Linked DNA regions of Astyanax mexicanus. The protein of the gene in region 2 interacts with the protein of the main gene of each other region in a pairwise test. Links are inferred from orthologs where the notes say so. Each region holds a gene or a part of one and is shown on either strand. Other genes may lie near its edges.

Evidence for each region.
Region 1: the proteins of cryabb (region 2) and crybb2 interact in a two-hybrid assay, tested with the Homo sapiens proteins (2 studies listed by BioGRID and IntAct). The link is inferred for Astyanax mexicanus from reciprocal best matches to the Homo sapiens genes CRYAB and CRYBB2.
Region 3: the proteins of cryabb (region 2) and lbh interact in a two-hybrid assay, tested with the Homo sapiens proteins (2 studies listed by BioGRID, with this or other methods). The link is inferred for Astyanax mexicanus from reciprocal best matches to the Homo sapiens genes CRYAB and LBH.

What each region holds. Positions count from the first base shown.
Region 1 is NC_064419.1:32,323,516-32,334,457, forward strand, and holds the start of crybb2 (beta-crystallin B2), read right to left. Parts: upstream 4,483-10,942; 5' UTR 4,355-4,482; intron 3,959-4,354; 5' UTR 3,934-3,958; coding exon 3,871-3,933; intron 3,559-3,870; coding exon 3,440-3,558; intron 2,522-3,439; coding exon 2,389-2,521; intron 894-2,388; coding exon 751-893; intron 250-750; coding exon 81-249; 3' UTR 1-80. Other genes in the region: kazald3 (kazal-type serine peptidase inhibitor domain 3), read left to right, coding at 9,784-10,291. UniProt on the Homo sapiens protein: Crystallins are the dominant structural components of the vertebrate eye lens.
Region 2 is NC_064408.1:26,483,537-26,493,588, reverse strand, and holds cryabb (crystallin, alpha B, b), read right to left. Parts: upstream 4,659-10,052; 5' UTR 4,445-4,658; coding exon 4,253-4,444; intron 3,373-4,252; coding exon 3,250-3,372; intron 2,586-3,249; coding exon 2,382-2,585; 3' UTR 235-2,381; downstream 1-234. Other genes in the region: hspb2 (heat shock protein beta-2), read left to right, coding at 5,818-5,911, 9,280-9,695. UniProt on the Homo sapiens protein: May contribute to the transparency and refractive index of the lens. Has chaperone-like activity, preventing aggregation of various proteins under a wide range of stress conditions.
Region 3 is NC_064414.1:6,390,316-6,400,955, reverse strand, and holds the start of lbh (protein LBH), read right to left. Parts: upstream 6,167-10,640; 5' UTR 6,054-6,166; coding exon 6,025-6,053; intron 1-6,024. UniProt on the Homo sapiens protein: Transcriptional activator which may act in mitogen-activated protein kinase signaling pathway.

The DNA.
Region 1 (10,942 bases), on a different chromosome or scaffold from region 2:
GTTCAGGAGTGAAGAGAAGGTGAAGGGGAGGAGAGTGACGGCTGGAGGAGGCTGGAGAGGTTTGGGGCGTGGGCTGAAGCTCAGTTGGCGGGGTGGAAAGCTCCTCTCTGGTGCCACTGCATATCCCGGATACGTCTCACGGACTGGATCTGAGGCACCTGGGCCCCGAACTCAGCGCACTCCTTATACTCACCCTTCTCAAACAGATACTGATAGCCTCTGTAACCAGGGTACTGGTAGGCCACCCAGCTGTGGGTGAAGATGAGGTGATGATGAGTTTAATATTCTGCCTATTTGGGTATAGCCATTCCTTTGGGTATTCAGTATTATCTTATATGATGGCTGACTGGCTATAGTGTTGTAGGACTTCATGCTGGCTGAGAACTGCTGAGAAAGTTAAGTATCCCATGTGATGGGAGTATTTACTCAAATAATAAACTTTTTTATTTTTTTTTTTAGCATTTTTTTTAAATATCTATGAAGAAGTTCATGTTCAAATTCACTTAAATTGTGAGTTGAGAAATGAGAGTAATTTACTCTACAAACCCTGATGAGAGACTGTAGCTCCATCATGCAGTTTTCAGCACAGTAAAAACATTCACAGCCCACTTTGTTTTACCTTTACAGTATTTGCAGTAGTTTCTCATTAAGTAGAATGGCCAGCAACAGCTGCTACGAAACACCAATATGGTTGTAGTATACGTGCTTATACGTGCTCTTGTCCATCAAAGTGACTGAGGTCATACTCACGTGCCGCTCTGCACTCGGACTGAAGAGACCTTCTCCTGGTAGCCGTGAGCGTGGAAGCTGGGTACGTCATCATCTATGATCTCGATCTTCTTTCCTGCGAAGCTGGGATTCTCATACAGCACGATCTTGTGCTCCTGGCTGTCCTAAAATGGCACAAGAAGACCACAGACTGAGCTATAGGAACTGAAGGAGATGCTCTTTAATAGACTGCATAATTTTAGATCCTAATGACATTATTTAAAATCACTAAAACATCAGATTACATTAGTACAGATGCAGGTAAACATGAATAGAGTTAAAATTACAAATAATTTCTGACATTGAAGAAAATATTTGTTGTGGATCTTGAGAGCTAGTTTGGAAAAACAAGGCTTAGTTCATCCCAGATTTCTCCTGTGAACCAGTGGATGTGTTCAATTCCATCACAAGTTCATTCCTGATTTAACATCATTAAACACTTAATTACCAAACCTGCTGTTGATATGATAAGAGCTGTATATAACACTGGATTCTCATGAGGAGAACTTTGGAGCTTTGGAGATCTTTTGATTAACACAGCCAAAATTCTCATGTGGTGCTCACACGAGTGGAACATGAGCTAGGAGGGTTCTAGATGGGCATGTGCTTTGATTGGATGTTCTGGCTGGGACCCAGTTGGCGTTTCCAAATGGGCTATAATCATTTCAGCTTATCTCAGTCTCACAAGGGTCCAGTGTAGGCCTCATGTACAGTGTACAACCCAGTTGGAGCCCATGTTTAACCCCTCCTGGTCCCATCACTAACTATGGTGGGCATCCATACAGTGGCGTGCACAGACATTTTGGGGGACAAGTGCTCGGGGGGGGAAAAAGGGCACTTTTTAGCGCACGTGGAACACTTCATTATAAAAAAACGCTATCTATCGTTGATTTGGGCTAGAGCGGCTAGTTTATCTGGTGACCAGTTGGCTAAAGATGCTTAGTAGTTTGGTGCTGTATGAGACATTTTACTGCACAACAAAATGATTTCACGTTGGGCTTAGAGGGCAAACGGTAGGATTTTACTTGATGTGTATGTTACCTGGCTGGTGGGACACGGGGGAGCGTGCTGTGCTGAAGACTCGCTGAACTGAACTGCTGCTGCAGCGCATCTAGTGTGCCTTGCGCGCGACCGCGCGGGATCACGTGACAGAGGAAGAGAGAGGTCGGGTGTGTGCGAGCTGATTTCAGGGCATTCTGTTTTCACTCGTTTTTAATCGCTCAGGTTTTCAAAAGATCTTTTCAAACCGGCCACAGTAAAATCTTAATATTAATAATATTTTTAAAAAAGAAGTTTTAAAAGGGCACTTTGGTTGATAAAGGGCAGAGTTGGTGGTGCTTTAGCACCCCCTGATGTCTATGTCTGCACACCTCTGCATCCATATGTGGGACCAACAGTGAAAGAGTGGACAAAACAATTTGGTTTCCAGTTGGGTTACACATTGTGGTCCCACATAAGCATGTTTTCTGGGTAGCTACCAATCAGTTACTGTACACTTACTAGATAAGAAAAAACTTTACACAGTACTAAAAAAAAATCACACTAAGAAGAGCAGTGTAAAGATGGCTGAAGGTTCTAGACTGTAGGTCAGTGAGGGAAGTGTGTGTTTGTGTTAGTTACCACTTTAATGGGGCGGAAGGCGAAGAGGCAGTCGCTGCGACGGCTATTGGTCCAGGCATCCCAGCGAGGATACTCGCCCTTCTCAAACACATACTGCTCCCCCTTACAGCCGGGCTGCTCATACCCCACCCACCTGTACACACATACACACACACACACACATACACACACAGCAAAAGCTCAGAGCATATACACACTATAGATACTAATATTAATAGTGTAGGTATGGCAGGTAAGTACACAAAATATTAATGTAATACCCCACTTAACAAGCACTGATAAACATGACTGTGTCAACATACATTACTGCACCTGCTGCTGCGCTAGCATCTTTAGCCATCACTTTTCTCATTTGTTTCAAACGTGAGTATCTCCTCCATTTCCGTTTTGCATTGCATTGTGGGAGAGAAGTGTCTATCGATACTGCACTCAAAAACTAGTTCTGAGTATGGATTCATGGAAACACAATCTGTCTGTCTGTTTACACCCTTATTCATATCTATTTATCTGTCTATATCTATAAATATCTATCTGTGTATATATATATATATATATATATATATATATATATATATATATATATATCTGTCTACATGTTTATCTATTTTTGTGTATCTGCCTTTGTCTGTTTATTTGTCTGACTATTTCTCTGTGTCTCACTGTCTGTCTGTCTATCTGACTGTCTGTATCTATTTGTCCATGTCTGTGTCTTGCTGACTCACTGTCTGTCTGTCTGTACATCTATTATTTGTCCATGTCTGTCTGTGTAGTTATGTCTCTGTCTGTTTTTTGTGTATCTGACTAATATTCTGTTTATCTATTAGTCACACAAACTGTGAGACAGAGAGATTATTCAACAGACAGACAGATATACAGTCTGTCTATCGTCCTCTGACTGTCTGTCCACCTCAAAATCTCTCCAACTAACTTTTGACATTTTCAAATCCGAGCACAGTCCTAGCAGAATGTGCCCACTCTCACTGCATCACCATCACTCTCTCTCTCTCTCACACACACACACACAGACACACACACACACACAGACACTAACGGTCCACACAGCACCAGTATCGATCCCACTTTCTCCACGCCCGCATCCTGGAGGTTGTTACAGGGCCCAGTCAGCTCATGGCAGCGGCCTTGGAAGTTCTCCTGTTCGTAGATAACTAGCTGTGCAAGAAACAAAAAAACAGGATCAAGTACTGCTTCATATTTTAATAATAATAATAAAAATTAAAAGAATTAATATAATAAATAAAATAAAAAAAATAATTTTAGATTCAGTGGATCTTTACAGCGGAAGAAAGTCAAAAACTATAGAAGAGAACACTGTGTGCGCTCTATTATTTAGTGTATTAATCACACCAAATGCAGGCAAATTCGGAAAATATACATTACATTACAATATCCTGACAACATACCATACAGAAATATATGATATGTATTATAAACAAACAAATATATATTTCTCATTTTGTGCACCTTAAACACACTGGATCCTGGTTGCTGCTGTTTGGTTGCAGGGTTCTGGTGATCAGTTGCCATAGTGAACCAGGATGGGTGTGACGAGCTTCAGGACAGCAAGTCACATCATTTCATCAAAAGAGAAAGAGAGAAATAATCTTTATTATTAAAATTAAACATATTTTACATAAAAATTGATGCTATGTTCTTAATAAAGTATAAATCCAATTAATCCAATTATAAATACAATCCTTCTGCTGTGTTCACTCTCAACACTTCAAAACTGAGTGTCCAGTAAAAAAAAACCCCAAAAAAACATTTTTGAAACAATTTAGCTCAGAATAAGAAATGTATAGTAATGACAGTATCCCTCTATATAAGAGTTTACATTACATACAGTTACTAAATATTACTTTCAGTAATTAAACAACAGCAAGAGCTAAAAGCAGCAGCGTAATGTGTGGAGCAGAAATAAAGGCAGGAACCGACGTTGGGGTCTTACCAGCTCTGCAGTGTGCCAGTCTGTATTGGGTGGCATGGGGGGCTGAATATATACAGCAAGCCCAGGGGTGGAAACTCTGCCAAAACTTCTCTCAGTTCAGATCACACTCATAATCAGGCCTAATAGGCTGGCTGTGCTGCCATGGGGGGGTCGAAACAAATCGAGCCAACATACACTCCCCCAACCAACCGCCCCCCCAACACTCCCCCCCCCCCCGACCTGCCCCACTCCACCAATCCACCACCCAAGACCACAACCCCAACCAGAACATCACCCTCAGCAGGCCCGGTTGGCCCTCCCCTTTTTGATGCCCACTGAGTTATTTCATTAGTTGTCAATTTCCCCCAGCCGCTCTTTGTTCGCTATCCCATGATTCAGCACAACCCGTGCCAAGAGTTTCAGATGTACAATGAGGGCGGACTGCAAAAACGCCCAGGCTGACCTGAGAGAGAGAGAGAGAGAAAGAGAGAGAGAGAGAGAATTATATCTATGTTTTACTATTCAGCACAATCTGTGGTGTTAAGTGACAACTTGGAAATGATTTTGGTAACAGTTTGGCAATAATTCGCTTTTTTTCATACAATGATACAAATAAGCAAAATGTTAATGCTTGTGAAATGCTATGATGACTGCATATTCACATAAAAAATATGAAAGTGTACAAAAAATATTTCATAGAGACAAAAATTTGTTCAAATAAAAATAAATGGAAATAAAAAAAAATAAATAAATAGTAAGTTACAATTGTTCAGCACAATTGTGACAATCTGTGGTGTTAATTTACAAAATAAGCAAAACGCTAATGCTAGTGATATGCAATGATGACTGCCCATTCACATAAAAAAAACTACAAAAATATGTAGTGTACAAAAATATTTTATAGAGCCAAATAATTTGTAAAAAAATAAAAATAAATGGAATATATATATAATAAATATATATATAATAAAAAGTAGACTGAAACTGTGAGACAAAATATATATAAAGAGATAATATATAGGGATTGAAAACTAAGATAAAAATATTTATATGGATATAAGAAATACTGTATATATAGAATTTATATATATATAAAATTTATATCAAATTTTTAATTGCTTCACAAAAGAGAACCATGTAGTCACACTTACATACACTTTTATTAGTACATAAAAACATGTAATTATATTGATAACAATAATGAGAGTTGAGGGAGAGTCAGTTATGAGATTTAATCCTCCATCAAAAAAGAAATAATAATCTCAAGGGACCTTCTAGTTAAAAAATAGAAAAAAAAGGTTAAATAAAAAATATATTTTTAAAATATTAATTAAAATATTTTCCCACAAATATACCTTATGTTATTTACCTTCTGAACTTAACAGTAGCAACACTGTTGCTAATTTTAAGCTTAATAAAAAGAGTGAATTGTGGGAGGAAGTTGGATCCGAACTTAGTAAAATTATGGTGTACCAACATAAAAAAATTAAATACAAAAAAAACATGAATTCCCTGGCATAAAGCTGTGCAAATTAACATTCTTGTGACTTAAGTAACAAAACAAGTCTATTTTCCTTTTTTTTTTTTGGAAATGTGAGATTTTTACACTTTCTTTCCTTTATTGTTACATTTGTTTTTATGGTATAAAGGTGTTACATGTAATCACTTTATAGACATTTCAAAACTAAAAACCCTATAATTACTGGGTTACAACATCTTATTAAGGCTTCATAAGACTTTGTATGAGCACAGTAAACATACTGGCCAAGACCAGAAAGCCAGACTGAACTATGGTCACCTAATTTTACAACAAACTTAAAATAAAACTTGATGAAACTCTAAAAGGAAGAGGTTTTCAGTCAGTGTGGACGATATGTTGCCATCTGGTGGCTTCTTGTCTCATCACAGTGTCACAGTTCTATGAGTCACTTTACTACTAAAATACTAGAGATGCTTAATATCACAATTCAACAATATTTGCTAATTGATATCAAATTTGAAAAGATCCAATGGTGTAAATCAGCTTCTAGCTAAATATAGCCACTAATTATAGATTTGGGTGCTTTGACTGTCCCAACTAACCTTCATTCTAAGTGAGTGAGATTTTGTGGTTGTTTTTGGATGAATTAAGGAATTGCTGAAATCCAATCCAATCATTTTGGTCAGAGTGTCATCATTAACATTCTCCACTAATTTAACTGCAGCTGTGGTTCACAGCTCAGAAAAAAACACAACAGGGGACTTAGAAAAAGAAATCCCATTGTGGACTATTTTTTGCCACCCCACATGTATCCTTCCACTATTTAAATGATACACAGTTTTAGACCCAGAATCTTCTGGCAGAACTGTGTTAAAAAGTGTCTGCGACATCAGACAGTGCATTCATAAGCATTTACTGAACTAATTTGAGGGAGTTTTTTGAGAGGTTCAGATGGCTTTTTTCAGTGTTCTGTTCACTGCCACTGTGAGCAATTATGACTTTTTAAGCGTTTTACACCAAACCCTCTCTAAATGACTCTACTTACCTCTAAACCATTTAATTATAGAGGACTTCTGTAGAACCTTAGAGCTGACATCAAAACAAGGGGGTAATTTGCACAGGCTTTGGAGATATAACAGTTCCAAGGGAATCAGGTTCAGTAGATGCTGCTTTAGTTTAGTGTTTCTTTCTGAAGAAAAACGATACTAAACAATGGTAAGTTTTTCCTAGAGTGCAAACAATTTAAACTCTAGGAAAATGGGTTTTATATAGTACTGTAAAAGGTTAGAACCATGTTTAAAACATTCTTTGAACAACCACACTCATCAGTGGCATGCCAAAAACAGGAGAATTGGCAAAAAATATTAAGTAGTATATTATATTGAAAGATAAGGTTTTTTACTTTACTTGTAAAGTGCCATTATTTGTGAGCCATAATTTATATTATTTAAAATTAATATCTATTAATTAATTAATTATCTATTATTTAAAAAGTATTAATATTTTCTCAAGCTTTACAAAAATGACTGTTGTTATGTAGATAGAGTACCAATTCGAATCTTGGACAGATCTCTTTTCAATCAATATGTTTTTTTTTTTATGATTTTTACATTGTAATTTTATATATTGAGGACATTAAAGAACCACAAATGATTATATTTTCAGTAGTAAATTATAAAAATGGTCAGGATGTATCATCAGATATTAAGGAAACATGTTAAGTGTAAGCACTGGCAGCCAGGGCCGCTGCTAAGGTTTTGGAGGCCCTAAGCATAACTGGTCAGGGAGGCCCCCCCCCCCCCCCCCCATTTACCATTTAGTAGCAACTTCGCGCGGTGAACTTGTCTCCTGCCAAACTCAAGTAGCGTTGCTACTTTAGTTAGGACTAAGGTTGCCAGATAAGTTACGATTTTTCATCCTATTTGTTTATTTTATTTTAAGTTTTTAACTTACACAAATATTGCACTGGACAAGTTTTTGTATAGAATGGCCACATACACTTTAAAAATGGTTAAACATGCGCAAGATTTAGCGCCTCCATGCATTTTTTGATTATTTATTTGACTGGAAAATGTCACATCTGGCAACAACCAACAGAGCAAACCGAGCCGTGCCATTTCAGGCAATAGGGGTGGGGGCATTATATTATGCACAAAAATAATAACGTGCCGCTTTTAAGTAGTAGAGTAGGTGCCCCATGCAATGTTTAAAGACAAAAAAGATGAGCGTATCATAAATAATTCACATTGGGTTTTAAATTTAATAATGTCATAATTTCAACACATTTCATTCTCAGTCAATTTGGCTCCCTGCAACTGCAAAATGGTTGAGGCCTAACGCTGGCTGCGTTGTCTGCGTATGCAGAGCGGCGGCCCTGCTGGCAGCTCTTGTCAGCAGGGCTTCAGTGAGCGATCAGTGTAACAGCAAAGAAGCTAGCAAACAAGGCTGGATCAGCTGTAACATTCTGTCAACTGGGATTCCAGAAAAATGCTACTTTTTACAGATTTCTGCTGCTAGAATGTTACCATCCTGTTGAAATAAAAAGAGAACATTGTCTTTTATTCCCGGAAACTAGCAGTTTTTGTTTAATATTTTAACAGTTTTTTTATTTTGTGCCTCTACTACTAGAACTGCCATTTACTGTTTTTTAGAGACTCGGTAGATTTACTAACCAATCAAAAACTCTTTTGTTTAAGGTGTACAGTAGTAAATTATGTCAAACTGAAGTCTGAAGGGTTTACTCTGATTTATTAACCATCATAAATAACATGTACTCCAAGGTATATAAATAATCCCTGTACTTTACTTTGCTAAACTGTCTAACTTCCCAGCATTCCTAGAGACTTTACCAGAATAGGGCTGGGGGCTGACACAAGAGGGTAGACGGTTGGGAACGTGAGACGGGGGTGTATTTTTTGTTTATTTTTCTAGTCCACAGATGGTGTTAAGATTTAAGGAGCCTGGGGCTGATCTACAGAAGCAGGAGGTAGAGTAAGAGGAGGAGGAGGAGGAGGAGAAGAACGAGGAGGAGGAGGAGAAGAAGGAGGATGGGGGTGGGAACCTGAGCAGGACAGGCAGAGCTGCTGCTGCTCACTCTGCTCTCTTTTCTCTGGGACTGAGTGGAAGTCTGGAAGAGACTGAAGTGTTTTTGGATGGCATTTTTTAAATGGTTTTGATGAACACATTGTATAAAGGACACAGGGATAATATTGCTTACCATTGTTTACGTTGAAGAACATCTCTCAGGACCTGTCAGCATTTTCTGGAGCTCATGCCTGGTTGGAGACTAATCTTGAAACTGGTGGAATCAACTGTCTTGTGAGTTCTTCAAGGGTTTCCAGATCACTTAGATGGATTTTTCTGGTGTATTTGGAGAATATTAGGAACATAATATAGGTAGGCAATCTTCTTAGGGTTGTCTATGTCTAGAATATTGAGACTTTTTTCCAGACATTAAGATTTCTGGTTTTCCTCTTCTTTTGGATTTCCTAATCCTATAATCACATAATTAGTTTGAATTAAGTAAATAAATTGAGTCTGTTTTATATAAAAATTAATAGTTCCAAACATTACTCAACTACTTTGAGTTTGATGAACATTTGCGGCTACATAAACATTCGTAAATGCAGTCTTTGAGTTGGATCCACCTATAATAGTTGAGTTTTTTTCCATTTGCTTCTGCATTTGCTTTTTCCAATATTTAAATACTTGGTCCTGTTCCCTAGTTTCTGACACTTACCATCAGTGTGTAGTAATTTCCCCCAAGGCTACCTTAGGTAAACTTGCTGATCCAAGCATCATTTTCTGAGCTGTTATCTCTCTGTGCTAGCTCTATAGCATTTCCTTTCCTTTAGTATAGTTTAATATAAATACAAATATCTATTTTATTTAATTTACCAAACAATTTGAAGTAGAATTATTGTACAAAGCAAGTTTTCAAGTTTATTTAACTCAAAGAAAGAATAAAGCCATGTGGTGCACAATGACATGGATGGCGTTCATGCTCCTAAGTGTGGGACTCTGCCAGAGTTTACCTCAGTACACCTACGACGACTTGGACGATGACTTGGCCATGACCTTTGACTATTACAAGGCCACGGACGAGCTGGATTACAGGAACGAGAGTGTGTGTGAGGAGTGTGTGCCGGAGCTCTGTCCGGTGACTCAGGGCTGCAGAGCCGGGCTGGTGAGGGATATCTGCGGCTGCTGCTTCGAATGTGGAAACCTGGAGGGTCAGTCATGTGATCTGGAGGACAGGAACGTCCGATACGGAGTTTGTGGAGAGAACATGGAGTGCAAGCTGGAACCCGGGCAGGTGGTGGACGCTGATGGAAGTGTTCCCGAAGCTCAGTGCGTTTGTGTGTCACAAGAACCTCTGTGTGGGACTGACGGCAAGACGTACATGAACCTCTGCAAGTTTAAAGAAGCAGCGTTCTCCAGTCCTGGACTCAACGTGAGTGAGGGGCCCTGTAAAACAGGTAGGAGACCCTGAATATAGTAGTGATGTAGAGGGTTTTTTAAAAGTGGAAAGAACTCACATTTAGAAAAAAAACTAAGATTTTGTAGAAGAGATTTGTGAATGTAAGGAAACTTTCAGAAGTCCAAACAACAATCACTTGGTGTAAAGTCTTTTTTTTTTACCAGGATAAGTGTTCTTTACATTGTTTATATAAGAATCATGTTTGTATAAAAGATTTTAGAGTGTAAAGAACATTTTTAGGTGATGTAAAGGTTCTTCATCAATTTAAAGCTTCTTCACACCCAACATAGTTGTTTTTGGTTCCATAAAGGTTCTAAAAGTTCCATAAAGGTTCCATGTAAACTGTGAAGAACCTTTTAAAGAACCACTCTGAAAAAACATTATTTGATATGAAGGTTCTTTACCAATGTATGGGTTCTTAACACTTACAAAAGAACCACATGCGCTTTCTAAAAAATAACAAGTTTTAAAACTTTGAACAAGTTTGAACAACCAATCCTTTAGTTAAAAAAATCAATTTTGGTTTAATAAAAAATGCATGTATGTAATAGGGTAAAATACAAGTGTAAATAACTTTAGAAAGGTTGAAAAAAGCATCACGCGGTTAAAGGTTCTTTTGAGTCTGACAAACTTAAGTCTTATTTGAGTC
Region 2 (10,052 bases):
TTATTTAAAAGCAAGGTGAATACAGTAATTAGTTATAGCACCGATGGGCAACATATAAATAAATAATAATAAATAATAAGGGTAATACTGGCAACTGAAAATAATGTCCTTTAGGTTAACTCACATTTGTTGGAACTGTAATTTTATATCAGTTGCTTATATAATTTATGAATACTGTAAAACACTACAGTAAAGTGTTTCTAAATTAACATAACAAAAATGAGTCACAGTGAATCTTTGAATGATCACAGAATTTATTGGATGTTTATAACCATCATTACACACACATGGAGAAGTGGTGTTTACACATTGTTTTAGTGCCATGAATCACAAGGAATGTTGAAGCAGTGAACAGAAACAGCAGAAGACTGGAACACTGAGCCTTTTACACTGATCTGAGACCTGTTTGTTCTTATTTTACACTTTTAAACATAAAGGTGCTAAAAAGGTTCTTGGAGCCAAGCTCATTTTTGTTTCCCCAAAGAATATTTGTTGAAGAGATGTGAGTGTGAAGAACCTTTATATTGGTAAAGAACCTTTTAAAGCAAAGGATATTTACGTGTTTATAGGGTCTCTTATACAAATATGGTTCTTTAGGGAAGTAAAAAAGGGTTCTTCTATGAGAGTGGTGTGGCTTTTTTCGTTTTCATTTCAGACAAGCAGAAGCACATTATCAGTTCCTGAAAAAACTCATGAGTTTATTAATTGTGCTGCTGGTTGGTTAGAATGAAAATCTGAGAGTGGAATAGACTATACATCACTGTTCTATGGTATTAGTTAAAGAACCTTGTAGAATGTTTAAAAGCAGTTTTAACCCCAGGACAATGTAAAAGACCAATCCTAACCAAGAACACATGAAACAGCTACTTGTGTGTCCCCCTCACTTGTGCCTTTTAGTTGATATAATAACTGTGGTCCACATTTACCTTTGCACAAAGAAAGTGTTTCCAAAAGTGTATTACGTTGTGTGCCTTGTTACAACATCACATCATTTCTTATTGAAGCAGCTTTCTCAATAATATTTTTGCAGACAATCTGCCCTGTAAAAACTAATTTCAACAAGTTAATGCCTTGTATGTGTGAGAATCCCGGGAGGTAAGGGAGAGGTGGGATGTCTGCTTTTGGGAGCATTGCTGTAAAAATAGATGGCTATTATAGATAGTAAACAACCTCCAATCTCTTTTTTATTGTTTGCAAAATGTAGTATTATATATTTTATGTAGAATATGAGCAAATACTTGATTGAAACACATTAAAATATGTGAAAAAGTCAGCAGACACATTCTTTAGGAAATCCAAACACCTCTGAATAATTTTTAACTAATTATAATCTCTTCCACCAAATTCCCACATCCCCATTTTTTTTCTATCTGCACTCCAAGGTCTATTGCTCCAAACCCTGACTGCATTTCTCAGCTGTAGGCTGTATAAGAAGAGCCCTTCACTTATGACAGGCTTTTATGACAAAGTGGCTGAGAAATGGAGCCAATCTAGACTTTGGAACGCAGCTTTTCAATATCAAACCAAACCTCATCATATTTGATTCACTGCTCCATTTATAACAAGATGTTTCCAGACGCCATATATCAATCCATCCAAACCAATGAAAAGTCATGTCTACAGAATCCCACAGAAACTACCAAAAAAAAGAGGTCACTTTCTTTCTATAACATTTCTCCTCACCTTGTTGCTACCTGCACTTGATCTTCATGTATCATCTGGTCCCAAGTCCATCATGAAAAGGAAGTACCAAATTACGAAACATACTCATTTTTCCTCGGCACACCACCTCCCACTTCACATGAAACGTTTGAAACCAAACAAACAACATTTTTTACCTCAGTGAAAATTCCCTCACAGTGTTCTTCCTCGTAGGCTAATTTCTTTTCACCGCTTGATCACAAAAATGCTCAAACATCCAGTCTTCCTACACTCAATCCCTCACCATTCTCTACTCCGTGCCACCATTGTTTGCCACTGACTGGCTGTAAAAGACAAAGAGCACTTTTGTTTGGCGTGGTTGTGGTTGGGATTGCTGAAGCAAAATGTGTTTTGCGTCCAGCGGCTGAGCGGCACAAACAATACTCCTGTGGTGTAATGATGTACATATCTCTGAGGACACGGTTTTGATGTGCCAACCGAATTAGACAATTCAGTGATCACTATTTAGCACAGAAACATGTGCTAGAACAGTTACTAGCTAGCTCAGAAATGAGCCCTTTGATTAGGACTAGCCTCTGGAAAGGCCAAGCCTCTAGAAGGTTCAGCTCAATGCTAGCACTGGCTTTTCCTCAAAGCTTGACTTGGGATGTGAAGGTGGAAGATAAGTGCAGGGGGACCACAGCGGAGGGGAGACAGAAAGGAGCAAGTATCTAGCAGCTTTACTTTTTCTGTGAGCCAGAGATAGCAGGCTTTTCTTCTCGAGTGATGGGAATGGAGCGCTCAGGCTCATCGGAGAGCTTGCGAGGGGCTGCAACCATGAGGATGCCATCTGAAGAGAGTGAAGAGGTGATACTGGCTGGGTCGACCCCGAGAGGGAGCCGGTATTTTCGTAGGAACTCTCGTGAGACAAACCCATGGTCATCCTGGAGAAAAAGATATACATTTACAGGCATTAAACAATGAATACTGACTGAAATATGATATTAGAGCAGTGTTAGCCAGACAAAACGCTTACATCAGAAGGTCAATGCTTGTAATAAGAGTGGACCAACTTGACAAAAAGGTTTGTTGGAGAAAAATTGAGAAAAATACCCCTTCCTATACGTAATAATTACAATATTAACTTATCGTATAATGTATGGACATCTGTTTTTGTTTTATTTATGTTTTATTTATTCAAGATATTCTAATTTCATTTCTATTGTCTGAATCATTAACAATTTATTGTTCTTTAAATGGGTTTAATTGCATTATTGTGCTATTCTATCATTATTCTAATCAGTGACATAAAATAGTCATAGAATTACAATAATATTGTTAATTGCACTTCATGGGACAGTATGTTGTCTAATAAAATCTCTTATCTTGACAGGCATACTTTTTTTATGTTTTTCTTGTTTAACCATATTCGATCAATCTAAACTGGTCTAAAATCTATTTAAATTATATTCAATGAATTACATCAAAATAATTAAATTGAATTAAATCTAATTAATTAAATCCAATTAAGTTAAAATTATTAACCAAATTCTGCAAGACAGGGGTACTCCATAACCAGAGTTAGAAACCACTGCTGTTTGTATTTACCTGACGATCCTCGTGTTTAGCATGAACCTCAATGTAACCGCCGTTGACCTTAACTGCCAATTCCTCAGGTGCAAAGTGTTTTACATCCAAATTGATGGTAAAACGGTCCTTTTCCATTTTCATCTATAAAAGACAGCACAAAACATGAATGTGTTTTGATTTCCAGTATTCAGTTTTATGTAGCTTAAGTGCTCCCTTCCAATTTTAAAACACAGTTTACATAATCATGATTACATGATTTGCTAGAAATAACAAGACATTGTTTAGAACTTAACATTATAATATTGTATGGCAGGGTTATTCTGTATGTGGACTACTGTTGTTTTTATTGTGGATATAGTACAAAATAAAAAAATATATAAACTTTTTGTATGCAAAAAACTGTTATCTGTTTTCTTTTCTTGCTCTTTAGTGACAGAGATGGAAAGGACTTCTATTACAGGGAAATCACTGAGCCTTCCAGCAGCAACATGTGCTCATCACCAAACATATTGATAAAATGGCATCTTTAAAATTGCTTCTTGCAAGGAAAAGTTGACAATGAACACCCTTTAAACTTGCCTGAGAAAAGCACAAAATAATTGTGCTTAATTTATTGTAATCAAGGCCACTGTAAGAGGAGTAATATGAGGTGACAACAAAACTACTCACAGAACACACATTTATATTGCTCATTTGTCCTGCATGGTCCTTCAGAGCAGTGGGAATGTTGTAAGATACACATTTTAATTTTCCTGTTGTAGGGTTTCTTAAGCTGTCTTCTAGATTAATGGTAATTCACCTCCAGGCAGGGAGCTCAGAATCCACAAAAGCAACCTTCTCAAATAACTTTTCCTTATTAGTCCCTGTGTCATTTATTAAGAGAACACCACTGGCAACACCGTTCTCCAGTATGGGGTTCTCCAGCCGAGGTTACCCTTTTGCCGTACATTACGTAGATTTATAGAGTTATAGAGTTATAGAATGTACCATGGAGAAATACACAGATGTCAGAGCTGCTTACCTCTGATAGCCCACTTTCCACCCAACTAGGTAAGCGGAAGAAAGAGGGTCGTGGGTAATACAATGAGGGGTAGGGGGTCAACATCTCACTCTCTGGGATATGCTCCCCGAAATGCTGGTCGAAGATCCGGCTGGGGAAGAAGGATGGCCAGAAAGAGCGGCGGAACCAGGGATGCTGGATGGCGACGTCCATTTCGTCTTCTGACCTAAGGCTAGCGTTGTCCTCCTGGAGAAAAACCTGTTGTCTGCCCAGCCTGCCCACTTATATACACCACCAGTAGCAGTCACAGAGCCAGGCCCAGCCAGCTGCGGATCTTTCTGGAACAATGATGTAAACTGTTTGATGGCCCCCCTTTCGTTGCGTCCCTCCCACTCTCCTCTGCAAGCTGTCTCATCCCTCTCTACCAGATACCTCTCTCCGTATTTATCTAAACCGGTGGTGTGATTTCATTCAGGCAGATGCCGGCCGGATTACAGGGCTTGCTCTGAATACCCATTTGGAAACTTTGCCATACAGAATCTAATGGGAGGTGCTGAGTGTAGCCTTTGGTTTTTTGGCTTTTCTGGCACAAAAACTGTGGACCAAGCAGCCTAGCTGTGTGCCAGAGCAGATTATCATGTTCATGTCCTGATTTGGCTTTATGTAGTTTGAGGTCTGAACCCCCTTTGAGGGTCTTTTGTCTTCGGCAGAACACCGGGCGCGAGGCCAGTTTGTTCGGTGGGCTGATGGTGAATGGTTGTGGGATCATTCTGCAGGGTTGAGCACCATACAGAGTCAATGTGCTTGCAAAGAAGCATTTCCCTGGTGCCCGCCAGCCTCAGCGGGCTTAGTCAAACTGGCACAAGCACCCGGCACAGTGCCACTTACGCAGTCGGCATAGCAGCACAGTCCGTCATCAGTCATCTCCTACCCACTCTGGCCTACCCACTCTCAGTGGCTGGTAATGATTGTGACCGGCAGTGTCTGGCTAGAATTGTCTATGTGTACATACACGCGTCTCTGGTAGAAACCCATTCAATGCAGGAGACCTACACACATATACTACAGGGCAGGGCAGGAGTCTTTAGCTTTCATGGTACATTAAACTAGTTATTGTTCCATGACTTATTGTATATTCTATTGAATATTATGCAGAATTCTAGATATGCACCGACATAACATTGACAGTACCCTTGGGTATTTAACTGACTTCCTGACCTTTTCACTTTTATGTGTATATGTGGCTGCCCCAAGTTGACAACTCATCCATTAACTCCAATGAGTCTCAGAACAGCTGCTAATTTACTTTCCTTTAGAAGAAAGCCAACCACTCTGAATAAAGAGACCCAAAACACTGCCCAGAATTATATCACTCAGTGTGTCTCCCCCTTTAGGCTATGCAACACCAGCGTGTGTGTGCGCCACAGGCTATTTCTGGACCCGTTTATTACCAAGGTCCAGGCACTAGGGCACAGACTTGCTGCCTCTCTTTTCTCTGTACTCTCCATTACAATCCTGCCTGTTTGTTGTACCTGAAAGGACTGCTACATTTTCACCAGCACTGGACACCCGGCCCATGCTTTAGCATGGCTGACCGCACCGTTCCCCATGCTTACCCCATGAGTATGAACTATGAGATGTGTACTCCTGCACGGATTTATGACCAGAACTTTGCAGAAGGTAAGAGAATCTTCAATCAAAAGTCAAGCTCACTTGTATTCAGATTGCTATGCTATTTGGAGGGAAGATAAAAGCTGCCAGCAACAATACATGATTGCAAATTAAGACGTGGATTAAGATGTGGGAAGTATTTATTGAGCTACACATATTGAAGTAGTGTGTAATGCATGTGTAATGTGTAAACAAGCCAGACGTCTCCTAACAGTCTCCTGCAATAAACTATTCCATGCAGCTTAAATTTTAACAATATTTCAACAAATTTTGCAGAAGAGGTGGAGTTTATAGCATGTTCAATAGAATTCCACACATTTTTAATCAAGGATAGGTCTGGTGTTGTGTTTTTTTTTTTTGGAAATCTCTTAAAATGGCAGTAGAATATGAATGAGCATTGTTCTGTTGAACCGCAGGGTGCATTCTGAAAAGGTATTGGCCACTGGTTGAAGGACGTTATTAATGTAACCCTGGGCATTTAAAACTGACTGTAGAGGTGTTCTGGTGACACCAGGCCCTATAGATGTGCAACACATGACAGCAAACTGTTGATCTTGGCACTTTCCACACATACGTTGGTTATCTCCATCCTTCAGCCTGTCACAACTACCCGCCAAATTTTCTTCCTGTCAGTTAATTCCTTCTGGGCGCAACTATGATAAGTGTCTTATAAATCCAGATAAATTGCTTCAAGGTGTTCTATCAATGGCATTATTTTTCATTCACAAGATATGGGCTACTCAATAATATCTTTAAACCAACAACAGCTGAAGAAAAAGTTTCTCTTTCATTTTGAATAAGAAAAAATTTTACTTTTTTAAACTGCATGAACTGCCCTACTTCTTCAACAGCAGACTTGTGATATCAGAGGATGAAGTTAACATGAGTTGTTTAATTGCCAATGAACCTGCACTAGAAGGGCCAACTGAAGTGATGACTGCCTGATCCACTATCCCCCATGACAGCTTTTTATACTGGAGGGAAATATAAGGCCCAGGCTAGGATTTATATTTAGAATACCACACATGACAAAGAGTCCAAGGCTACCACACAAAAATAACTGTCATCCACTGCTGGACTGAATATGAACCAATATCTCATATCCAGCACTGAGCAACCACAGTGTGTGTCATTAATGGTAGTATATATACATGAAGATAAGGGCGCAGTATATGATCAAAATAAAAACATGACGCTTGACCTGCGCTGCTGACACTGTTTGTAATTAGACCTGATGTAAGAGTTTCTGGTGTTTTATAGAGGGGAGGGACGTTCTATTTTTATGGTACTGTCAGGCAAACTCTATGAGGAAGTGAACTCAGTTAGTAGATTAACAAAAATCTAGATATGCACAATGATATCAGAAGAAGAATTATGTATTGCTTAAAACTGCTTTAAATGTTATGTCCACACCAGAGAGATGTTTAGACGTAACTGATATTTTAAAATTATATTGATCAGCATTTGAACAACTTAACTGCATTTGTAACACTACACAATTCAGTTGGGACAGTATACAGAATGCAAATAATAATAAAACACTGTGTTTCTTACATTTACAATTTTAATTGCATTACAATATGAACTGCTCAACTTCATTTCATGTATTAATGTACAGCTCTGGAAACAAATTAAGAGACAACTTCAGTTTTTTAAATCAGTTTCTCTGATTTTGCTATTAATAGGTTTATGTATGAGTAAAATGAACATTGTTTTATTCTATAAACTATGGACAACATTTCTCCCAAATTCCAATGAAAAATTATGTCATTTAGAGCATTTATTTGCAGAAAATGAGAAATGGCTGAAATAACAACAAAAATGCAGAGCTTTCAGACCTCAAATAATGCAAATAAAACAAGTTCATATTCAGAGTTTAGAAATCAATGTTTGGTGGAATAACCCTAGTTTTTTAATCACAGTTTTCATGCATCTTGGCATAACTTGGATAACTTTATGCCACTCCTGGTGCAAAAATTCAAGCAGTTCAGCTTGGTTTGATGGCTTCATCCATCTTTCTCTTGATTATATTCCAGAGGTTTTCAATTTGGTAAAATCAAAGAAACTCATCATTTTTAAGTGGTCTCATATTTTTTTCCAGAGCTGTACATCTATTTCTGTGTTTTAGTCCTGTAACACATTCCACAGAAGTTGCGACATTAAGACATTTACCGCTTTGCAACATTGCCATTCCTTCTCACAATATTTAAAAGACGTTTTGGCACTGGGCATAGCAAGCAATTAAATGGCATTATTTTGGTTAATTCTTGTTGCAACAATATCTTAAGACGTCTAACAGTAAATGGTCATCATTTTTGCATTTTTCTTTTAATTTTTTTTCTCACATTTTGTATTGTGGTCAAGGCAGTCCAGCACGATACCCTCTTATTCTGCACCCATGCCTTTGTTATGTGTGCAGCATAAGGTTTTGCATTGTCATGCAATGCATGGATGTCCCTTGGTATGTGTCGCAGGCCTGAAATGCAGGAATGGGTGTATATTAACAAATTAAATAAATATGACTACAGTGAAATAAATGCAAAGTAAAGAAAACTTTCTTGTTTTATAAGCATTTCCCATACTGTGAGAACTTTTGCCTGATCTGATGATGTAGTAGGAAAATCAGAATACTGTTCTGATTAGGGGTGTGACATATTGTATCGTAGACAATAATATTGCTAATATTTTTGAATATGGTGAACGATATTATACCCTGAAATATCATGCCATATTACCCACTCCTAATTATGACATCAAGGTGCTACTTTTTGCTGTTTTTAACAAAAGGACAATTCACACTGTTCTCATTTTCCATTATATATCTACTAGAGACAGATTATATCTGTCCAGTATCATTTATTTTACTTTAATCCTGCATATATGGAGATATTAGGAGTGCATTTTTAGTATCATGACATTCTGAATCATTGACTTCTTTTACAAATCTGATAAAATTCTTGTATTTTTTATATCTCAGTTATGGGTGTGCCATATAATAATGTATGCAATAGTAATATTTCATTTTCATTTTGTTGCAGTAATGTATTCTAGAATAGTGTATTCTTTTAATTTATTGTTTTGTCTTTTCGCCAAGAGTATCGTTATCACAAACAAAAAAAAAAACATGAAATACCGTAATATTATTTTAGGGCCATATCACCCAACCCTAGTTCTGCTAATGTCAAAATTCACAAACAAGCCTTTACCTGCTAAACCCTACACATACACACATGCATGCAGAATCTACTTGCAGAATATGGTAATGCATTTGAAAAACAGCAGGACTGACATAAAGAATTGAACACAAATGGAGCTGCTGGCTTTTACTTTCACTGCTAACCCTATCCCCTCTGTTGACCTCACCCCCCTATCCCCAGCCCTGTCCCCTCAGGACCTGATGGCCCCAGTTTTGTACCATGGTTACTACATCCGGCCTCGCATCAACAAGCAGCTAGAAAGGGGCTTCTCCCAAGTAAACAGCGACGATGACTGGTACCGCATTCAGCTGGACGTCTGCCACTTCACTCCAGATGAGCTCAATGTACGAACAGTGGACAACCTGCTGGAGGTCACCGGCCGCCACGCGCAAAGAATGGATGACCACGGCTTTGTGAGCCGAGAGTTCACGCGTACCTACATCCTTCCCATGGGCGTGGACCCACTTCTGCTCCAGGTCTCCCTTTCACATGATGGGATACTGTGTATTCAGGCACCAAGGAAGCTTGAAGATTTGGAGCCTAAGATTAATCAGCTCAAGATCAAAATGGACAAGAAAGGAGAGAATAGCAGCTAAAATGGCTTATTATAGATAAAGATATTTTTGCTTAAGGAAGTAACATTGGTTTTAGGTGAGGAACAAAGGTAATAACCAACCTACTGTACCTGATCTCATATCTCCGCTCACTTCCTCAAACAGCTTTGCCTTGGGAAAGTCCATGCAGTGGCAAAGAGTTACCACTTTACAATGGCAATATCTGTCTGAATTTAGCCCAATTGTTTTATTTGTGAAATCCTCTGTCTCTCTCACTAACATCAGTGGATTAAAGGTCATATCAGGGTCTATTTTTTTTGGGCTGTTGCTGCAAGAACACTAAGAAATGTCAGCAATGAAAAAGAACATTTGGTACAGTGCCACAGTTCTATATGTAAT
Region 3 (10,640 bases), on a different chromosome or scaffold from region 2:
GAGCACTCTGAGACAGCAGAATTCACAGAGACCTGAGAGCAGCGATCCATAAAGAGCTAATTATCAGAATAGAACTGGACCAAGTTTGGACACACTTTCTTATTCACCTCATTCTCATTCAGTGTCTTTCTAAATTTCATAATTTCATTATTTAAATCTGAGATGGTGATTTTTTATATAAATTTGTTAAATACACAAAAAAGGTTTTTGTGCAAAGTTCAATAGTCAAATATTCAGTGTATATCTCTATTAATTATAATTTATTCAGTCATATCACCCACTTTTTCTACCTCACAGTTAGCTATATAAACGCTGCACTACAGTAGGAGTGGGCGATATGGCTCTAAAAGAGTATCACAATATTTATTGGTATTTTCGTAATACTGATTACTCTTGGCGATAGGACATAAAAATATATATTTCAAGAATACACTACTGCAACAAATTCAAATAGAAAATTAAATGTTGCTATTGCATACAATATGACATGGCACACCCCTCACTGAGATATTAAAAAATAAAAGAATTTTATCAGATTTGTAACAGAAGTCAATGATCCAGATAGTATACTCAATGATACTAATAATAATGCACTCCTCCATATATCTCCATATATCCAGGATTAAAGTAAAATAAATGATACTGGACAGATATAATCTGTCTCTAGTAGATATATAAAATGGGAAATTCAATAACAAGTTTAACTATTTTACAATACAATCCAACAAAAGTCTAAACTAAGTTTTGTGCAGCAATTTAAATCAATATGTAAGAAATCAGTTTTAATCAACAACAGCACAAACTTAGTAGACTTGAATTTACAGCAGGAGGCATATATGCAAGGTGTAGTTTGGCACAATAGTACCCAAATATAACTTATTAATTAAAAAATGGATAAACTTTGCAATTAACTTCCATTAAAAATGACCACAAAATGGTTTATGGATCCATGGCATCACTCACAAAACCATTTAATTGCATCTTCACTCTTGGGGTTGGATAGTAAAAAAGTAAATACTATATTTTTGCTGTAGTCAAGGTGACTACAAAAAAAAAAAAAGATAAAGTTTCTCTATGGTGCATGTTGAAACGTCAACCATGGAATTATGCAGATATTTTTGAAAAATCTGAGGAAACCCCCTCAAACTAGAAACTCAGCAACACTTTACTGTGGTTCGGTCTTAAAAGAGGTGAAGCAAATGTTAAAAAGGAAAATTACCCAAAGTTACCTTCAGTCAGACACCTACAGATTCACCCAGGTTTCCTTAAAAACACGCGTGACGGGGCTGAGAGAGCTTTTCGAGGCTGTTTAGAGAGGAACACAAGCGGTTCGAGCTGAGGAGAGCTACGTGAGAAGATAGATCAAGGGCCTCTGCAAACAAAACCACCAGCGACTGCAGAGAAACAGTTAACTGCAGAGACGCAGCAAGACAAGGGCTGAAATTCACTTTAGGAGGTTAGGTTCACACTTCCTGCCCAAAACACAACTCATAGTGGTTGAAGTGATTATGTAAAAACAATGCAACACTGACACATTGCTACTGCTAATGAAGGGTCACGATGTTAACCTGCTGTTTTGTTTTTGTGTTTTTATGAATTCTCTCAGCAACAGGTAAAAAGCTAGTCAGAAAAAAAAATAAAAATCAAAAAATGAAAAAAGTGGTGTGAGGCCTGTGTACTCCTCCATTTTCCTCTGAAGTAAGCTAATTGTTTCCTTCAGATGCTCAAAGGCTGAAAAAAAAAAACGAGCTAAATCCACAACCCCTGCTTTCTCACTGGGGTTTTCCACTGCAAGCTAGCTTGTGCTGCTAAACACATTGAGCAGAAGCTCAGAAAGTGTGAAGATCAGGGGAATAGGCTGCATCAGTAGTGCAAACCTGAACTGCGTCCCAAAGCTCAGGCTGCATTTCTGAGCCACAACAACACAGAAGACGGTTCTAGAAAGAAAGAACTTCTTGAATATAAACAACTACGGGTATACATTACAAACTAGGGGTGGGCGATACGGCTCTAAAATAATATCACGATATTTCATGGTATTTTCATAACGATACTTTTGGCGATATGACAAAACACTGAATTAGAAAATTATTTCGAATTTTATTATAGCATGCAATAGGATATGGCTAACTGAGATATTAAAAAAATAATAATAATAATTTTATCAGATTTGTAACAGAAGTCAATGATCCAGAATGTCAAGATACTAATAATAATGCACTTCAAATATCTCCATACATCCAGGATTAAAGTCAAATAAATGATAATACTGGACAGATGTAATCTGTCTCTAGTAGATACAGTATATAATGGGAAATGAGAACAGTGTGAATTTTTCTTTTGCTAAAAACAGCAAAAAGGTAGTACTTTGATGCAATAATTAGGGGTGGGTGATGGGGCACAATATGTCAGGGTATAATATCGTTCACGATTTTCAAATTTTTTGACGATATTATCACGTACGATATGATATGGCACACGTCTAATACAGACCAAAGAAAATTAAGATCCAAAATTATTTTAAGCGCCTTTTCTTCACAGTATAAGAAGTAGATTGGTGTGAGAGTCTGAATCTGAACCTCTACCTCACTCTACCTCCAGCTTTGGTGTGTCACATGATAAGCTCCCTCTGTTGCTACATTCAGGTAACACAGTTTGCTGGTATTCATGATGATGTTATTGCAGCTCTTTTAAAGAGTTTATTAAGAAAACACATATTATGATACCAATTAGATTTATTGTACAACCCAACAACCAATGCAAAAATAAACATTTAATTAAATAAATAAAAGCAGCCAACAGGCACAGTGCAAAACAAATCCATCAAGTTTGGCTCCACCACTAAATACAAAAGAAGGAATCTTTCTGAAACAGTATCACCATAAGGCACCACTACACCACTATATTCAATATTCAATATTATATAACTAAAGTCTACCAAGAAAGAGTCTTCATAGGAGGACAGTACTACCAAGGACATAGGCTGGAACTCCAGTCTGGTATCATGTTAAAAGATGACCTGATTGAGAACAGCCAAGATCCGTATAGGCAAGTCAGTTCACTCAGTGACCAACATGGAATGGATGCCATGATGAGCGTTGCAAGAACTCTCACATACAAACAGTGGTCAGTGGGTGGTGGTCTTCTCTTGTGACAATATCAGAGGGCCAAATGCGAGGCTAACGTAAAATCAATGTAATGGTGGATTTAAGCCAATGTAAAAACATTAAAAATAAGCCCGTGGGTCATTCACATGGATGTCTAACTCATGAAAAAGAAATGTAGTTAAGATACTGTGTTTTTCGGAGTATAAGGTGCACTTAAAATTCTTTAATCTTCGCAAAAATCATCAGTGCGCATTATGTATGAATTTTACCAGTCAGGTTGTAAGGAGCAGTAAAGCCACTCCGCTGAAGTACAGCGTTATACAGTAGTTTCAGTAAAGTTTCTCCAGCACCAAGGCTGGAGCAGTATTGGCATTATCCGCTAACTGCAGCGCTAGCTCTTTCACTGTTCAGAGTTGTGTATTTCGATCTGTAGTCTATACTGTAGTTTACCATGTTAAAACAAGCTATGTGGGACAAACCGCTAGCTGATAGCATCCTGGCTTACCAGAAGACTCAGGATTCCTCAGTGTAGCGCATAATTGGGTGCGCCCTATAGTCTGTAAAATATGATAACTTCCAAACATCGTACAACTAAACAAAATAAAATGCAACAAGCGCAAAATAAATAAAAAAAAAATGCAGAATTGATATAAAAACAATGCAAAATTTCTAATGTTAACCTTCCAAACGATTCAACCAAGGCTCAATTCAAATACACTAAGAAATATAAACAGTTATGTTTTAACTACATGTACATTAGATACTGTATATGGTGTATGAAAGTCAAACCTTGGAAGAATTAGGTAGATATAAGCTTTTTCTCATTCAAATCAATTTAGATTGATCAGACATGAGGGAGGCAGTCTGCTGTTTAAAACGACTGTAATTATTACACTAATATTTAGCTTGCATTGTTGTTATTCCATAATGACCAACAATCTTTAGATCCAATCCACAAAAATCTATAGACTTTATTTCTACTGTATGATAGTATATTGTAGTTTGTACAGAGTACACTGGAGCAGTCCTTTCACTGTGGAATGTGACCTTTTGTGCAGAATAGGAAGGTATCAATCTTGTGACTCACATCCACCGCAGCTCTGAACTGGAGTGGAAACAGCATTTTGCCTCAAATACATATGTATGTTCCACTGTGAGTCACACACTTTGCCTAATATATGGATTATGCTGTTATGTATTTGGCTGAAGCAAAGCTTTCTGGTGAATTTCAGTTCACAGTTTTACTGAGCGTAGATCATAAAAGAGGGGGAATCAATTGCACATAAACACATTTCAGGAAATACTTTCTAATATATTATGAAGGACTAATGTGAGAATTTATTTGTATTCAGCAGCAACAGCGTTAGAAAGCCTTAGATACTGGGGATGAAGTCATCAATCCATCCCAAAAGTAAAGGATGGAGCACCATCATTCCAGAGAACACAGTTCTACTGATCCACAGCTTAATTATGGCAGCCTTATCCATTAGGAAGGTTTGGCATCAGGTATGGTGTCAACAGGTTCATGATTATCTGCTCCAGAAAAATGGAACTGTGCAAATTAAATAAATGAAACGTAAACACAAAGCCATTTTTTTCTAAAAACGACATGCATGTTAGATACCAAAATCATGTAAAATTGAGCTTTTGGCTATTCAAACCAACTTATAGTCCCTAATAACAATACTCCTTTTTAATTAAAGGTTGCTACACACGTTATATGAATCTTGGATATTTTAAGGACACATAAAATTTGGTAAAAAAAAATGCAATCCTGCACAAAAAAAAAAAAAAAAACTTTCACCATTCGAACATACATTACAAAGCAAACCATTTTAGACATTACAGCAGAATGAAGCTAAAAGCAGTGTTTCAGCCTGAGAGCAACAAATCAGAGCAAAGCTCATTTACATACATCAGTCTTGTCATAGGGGTCATAGATCAGGAACACAGCCTGTTTCTTTATGGATGAAAACTGATTGGAAAAAGGTAATTTAAAACCAGTTTTATTACTTTTAGATATATAGGGCAGGAGCAACAAGTGATAATAAAAGTTTAAAATATATAGAACATAGCTACATATTTGTATTTATTTTTCTAACTACAAATCGTGGGCTACTTTGTCTTTTTTAAGTTGTTATTAATCAGAGTTTCTACAATTTTGTTATTTATAGGTATATGCTTGAGTAAAATGAACAGTGTTGTTTTATTCTACAAACCACAGACAACATTTCTCCTGGCTAAAATAACAAAGATGCAGAGCTATCAGAGCATAAATAATGCAAAGAAAACACAAGTTCATATTCGTAAAGTTCTAAGAGTTCAGAAATCAATATTTAGTGGAATAACCCTGTTATTTTTAAATCACAGTTTTCATGCATCTTGGCATGTTCTCCTCCACCAGTCTTACACACTGCTTTTGGATAGCGTTACGCTTACACTCCTGCTGCAAACATTCGAGCAGTTCAGCTTGGTTTGATGGCTTGTGATCATCCATCTTCCTCTTGATTGTAACGTTATTCCAGGAGGTTTTCAAATCAACAGTTTAACAACAACTTAAAGCAGCAGTAAACGCGGCATGCTTTGACAATCGCGTAAGTTATTAGCGTTTAATCGATTTGATTGATGCGATACAAAAACGCGTAAAATGCGTAAAATTGCGTTTCAACTAAAGCGCGTACGTAAACGTACGTACGTAATATTGCACGAAACGAAATTAAAACACGTGTATTTATTTATTTTTTATATAAAAAAACATGACTCGAGCATCGCTAAACTACACGACAATAGCGTTAACCTGCATAAGTTATCTGCATGGCTGCTTGTTGCACCCTAAAACTCTACAGTACTACAGACCCTTACAGACCATTTACTTCCATTATAACCAGAAATATTGCATATTATCTTAATATCTTACCAGTAGACTTGAGGACAATACACAGACATGTAGATCTTCAGCCTGGGGGCTTCACGAGCTTTCTTCAGCCTATTAAACAACAGGAACAGCAACAGCAGCTCCACACTCACTCACTGAGTCCATCCACAGCTCTCACACTATCCATCTCCGCCAGCTGAGCCTCAACTTTTATAAAAGGGGGCGTGTCCTACAGCTCTGACCACGCCTATTCCCAAATCTTCTCAATGGCAGCATGAGAATGAAAGAGCTGGCGTAGCTGCAGCATCAGCCTATCAGCGCGCGGCACCGCAGGCGCTGGATGACGACAATGGACAAGGCTCGTGCCATTGGACGGTGGAGAAACAATGCAGCACACGCAGCCAGGCAGACCGACACAGACAGGAGGATATGCTCTTCTCCAACTGGGAATAAACCACTGCTCCCAGTTTGACTGACTATATATATGCGTGCCTAGTTATTATAGAAGGTGCTACCAGTCTTTTTTTTAAGATTTTTTAAGGTTAAATAGGTTTAAAGTAGAGATAAATGAAGAAGAGACAGCTGAAGATGAGCTCTGACCCTGGTCCAGCCTTCATCCTCTGAGAGTCTCAATGACTCATTGAGCTCAGAGAGATGAGAGGTCTGGAGGATGATGCAGACAAATCATAACGGTTAGTATGAGGGAGCTATATATAAATATATATACAAAATATATATACAGCTCTGGAAAAAAAAATAATAATTTCATTGATTTTACAAAATTGAAAACCTCTGGAATATAATTAAGATGAAGATGGATGATCCCAAGCCATCAAACCAAGCTGAACTGCTTGAATGTTTGCACCAGGAGTGTAGGCATAAAGTTATCCAAAAGCAGTGTGTAAGACTGGTGGAGGAGAACATGATGCCACGATGCATGAATAAAAACTGTGATTTAAAAAAACAGGTTTATTCTATCAAATATTGATTTCCGAACTCTTAAAACTTGAATATAAATATGAACTTGGGTCTGAGAAAGGTCTGCATCTTTTTTTATGTTATTTCAGCCATTTCTCTACTATTTTCTAAATTTTATAAATGACGATACTTTTTATCAAATTTGGGAGAAATGTTGTTTGTAGTTTATAGAATAAAAGAACAATGTTAATTTTACTCAAACGTTTACCCATATAATAGCAAAATCAGAAAAACTGATTCAGAAACTGTAGTGGTCTCTTATTTTTTTCCAGGGGCTGTATAGAGGACACTTTTGGCAATATAATGTATGCACATCAGATTTATTATTTTTTTTCTGAAATATTGTTAAAGAATATGTGCAAACCTTTGGGAGTTTAACAGGCTCACAAATGCAATTATAACAAACATTTTATAATGAACTAAACAATGATTTAAAGCCTTTGTTTTCCCCTCATTATTGCAAAACACAAAACTGAAGCTCAAATTTTAGATTATCTCAATAATAAATCTCAATAATAGTTTGTCGCATTATGCCCAAAAAATTCTGCACATCAACCTTGATTTGTCAGCTTGTTATGGCAACTGCACTTGCACGTATCTCCACATCGAGAGGGAGTTTTAGCCTCTAGCACATGCTAACTCTCCTCCGCTCGCAGTGTAAGCAGCAAGCTGATTTGCTCTTGTTGTTGAAGGGTAGATTTTTATCTGTAAACAGACGTCATGGTAAGTGTTATGAGAACTCCCACATCTTTGTGTCAAAGCAGCATGAATTAATATTTATTTATTATACCACAGTTCGTTCCGACCCTGCAATGTGATTGGCTGAGAGGTGTTCTACGAGTACCGTTATCAGCCGGTAATGCACTACTGTAACCGAAGCTCTCAATGTATTACTCCACCACATGCAGGTAACCTAGAAACGTTGCAGCGCTTACAAGCCAAACAGCGCAGCTACAAACAGAGCAGCAATGGAATTATTTTAGCTTGCAGAGTGTTTATAAACAAGCCGATTGTTGGTTCGCCTGCGGCCTTGTGCCTAAGACCGCTGCACAGCAGTGTCAATATTATACCTTATAGCATTCCCTGTTGTGTGCTGTTGCTTAAATATCAAATTAGGATTTTAAATAAACTTTGAAGTATCGTAACACCCCTTGTACTGGTATTGGAGGTGTTAATAAGCACCCTCTGCTGAAATCGGGGTCAGTTGGCTAAACACAGATTATACATTAGCCTGTAATCTCCACAGATCAACACTGTCAACAGATCAGGAAGCTCTGGAGAAACCATATATATATATGTATATACATATTGAAACTACAGTATATGGTCACCAACTACAGCAGTATAAAGCCCCCAACATCCCAACATGAATATGTTGATACCATGCCTAATATCAGGGGTGTAAACCCCCCAGTGTTAGAACAGCTGTATAAGTTGTAAGGTGTTATCTTGTGTATCTTGAGTGAAGTTTAGTACTGGCCACCATGCCAGTTTTTCGATAATTAAGAGACTTATTTTTTTTTATTTGTCATCAATATTTTGTATGAAATAATAAGATTAGACATTTGACACATCTTTTCACTTTATGCAGTTTTTATATTTGTATATCTTATAGTTTTAAAAAAAAGGTAACAGAGTTGATCTGAAGATGGTGAGAGACACTAAAATGACATATTTTACAGAAAATAGATATTCTGTGGTATTAAAGTAACTAATCTTGAGCTTTTAGAAGAATTTTTAGATTTGTAAAAAAAGAAAGTGAAGACATTTAAAAATGTGAGGGTTTTGAGTCATTTAGTTAATTTCATATGAATAAAGAATAAAATGTGCCTAAAATCTAGGTCAAGCATTTTTAATAGTATTTTAGTGATAATTAGCAATATTATTAGATAGTGGGAGATAAAAAAAAAGTTCCCCTAATTTTAGAATGACTTATTTACACTTATTCTGTGGGTTCTGAGCCATTTCCTTCTTTTCTTTCTAGGGATATAGAATTACCAGTTCTTGCTACTCTTCTTTCTCAAATGAACAAAAGCAAAAATTAGGAATTTTTAGGAATTTTAAGGAAAAATCGAATGAGATCACCAGCAATGACATTGTACCGCCATTGACCTATTTAAACAGATTTTCTCATTGTTACTGTCCTTCACCTCTGTTCTTGATATGGAGGCCCATTCATACATTCCCAAAGCATCATCTCAGCATTATTATTATTAGTCAATCTTATTTTTATTGAGGTCACAGTGCCATCTGCTGGATTTATGATGTGTTGTGTTTAAATCCAGACTGGACCCTACTGGATATGTGTGGTACAACATTGTATTACTCTGCTGATGGAAATTCTGGGCAATTCCTCCATATTTCCACCCAAAGTTTGAGGTTTAATAAATGACATTCACAAAGGGTTTAAAGTGATAAATGTAATCATAAAGAAATATTTTGATTTAGACTTTATAAGAATGGTGGTGAATGTTTAATCATGTTTCAGAACCGATCCAAGGCATACTGGAACTGTGGCCACCTAGGGCCCCCATGCCACCAGGGCTTGTACAATGAAAAACACTTATCTCCAAAACAGCAACTTTACAGGAGAGAGAAAAAACCTTGTAAACTTTCAATGGAAGTCAATGTAAAAAGAGTTTATTTCAGGTCATTTTGAAGAGTTTCTAGTAGTCGGTTCATCAAGAAATTTTGGCACAGTGTAAGGGACAGTTTGTCTGTTCAAATTATGTAGTAAACTAAAAATATATAAAAATATATTTAAATATATTAAAAGTACATTATTATTATTTTGCTTTCATCAAATGTTTGAAAGTAAACTTTGATCATACTTTTTAAAAAGAACAATATAGTATATTTAAAAAAAATAGACTACTATGAAGTACACTTTTAGTTTAATGTAATTCAGTATACTTCTAAAATACTTATTTCCAAATATGCTTTTGTACATTTTCAGCAAAGTATGTTAAAAACAGCTGTTACAGTAGTTCACTTAAAGTACAATGTATCATGTAACTTCTTAAAAAGTAAATTAAATTACTAATAATTTAAAAAAATAAAATTGAATTTGAATTTCTAACACACTAAAAATTGTAGTACAGTATGTTAAAACATATATTTTATACCCAAAGATGTATACTAGAAAGGTGCTACTTACAAAAGACAGGAACAAGAAGCATATTTGTACTATAATAGTGATACAGTTCTAATACTCACTAAATGTATTGTAATTTTACTGTAAGCATGTTTAAAATATATGGTTACATACATGAAGTAATATGTTTAGATGTTACTTAAGATGTATATTTAAAATAGTTCCATTTTAGTACAGTTAAGTACACTAAAAGTATAATAAGTACAAAAAAGTTGTTCAATTTTAGCACTCTTTAAATATACTGATTAATAATAATAATAATGTGGCTACAAGATCACTTTAGTGCACTTTAGCATAATACTGCTTAGTATACTTTAATCTACTTTATTGTCACCAGGGTTGGTGCATTCTAGTTTGTGAACCCTTCATAATTTTCTACATTTCTGCATAAATATGACCTAAATCATCTTCAGATTATCACACAAAATCCTAATAACTCCTAGTAAAGGTTACAAAGGAACCCAGAGCAACTTCAAAGCAACTGAAGGCCTTTTTCACACTGGCTTAGGTTAAAGGTCATGAGTCC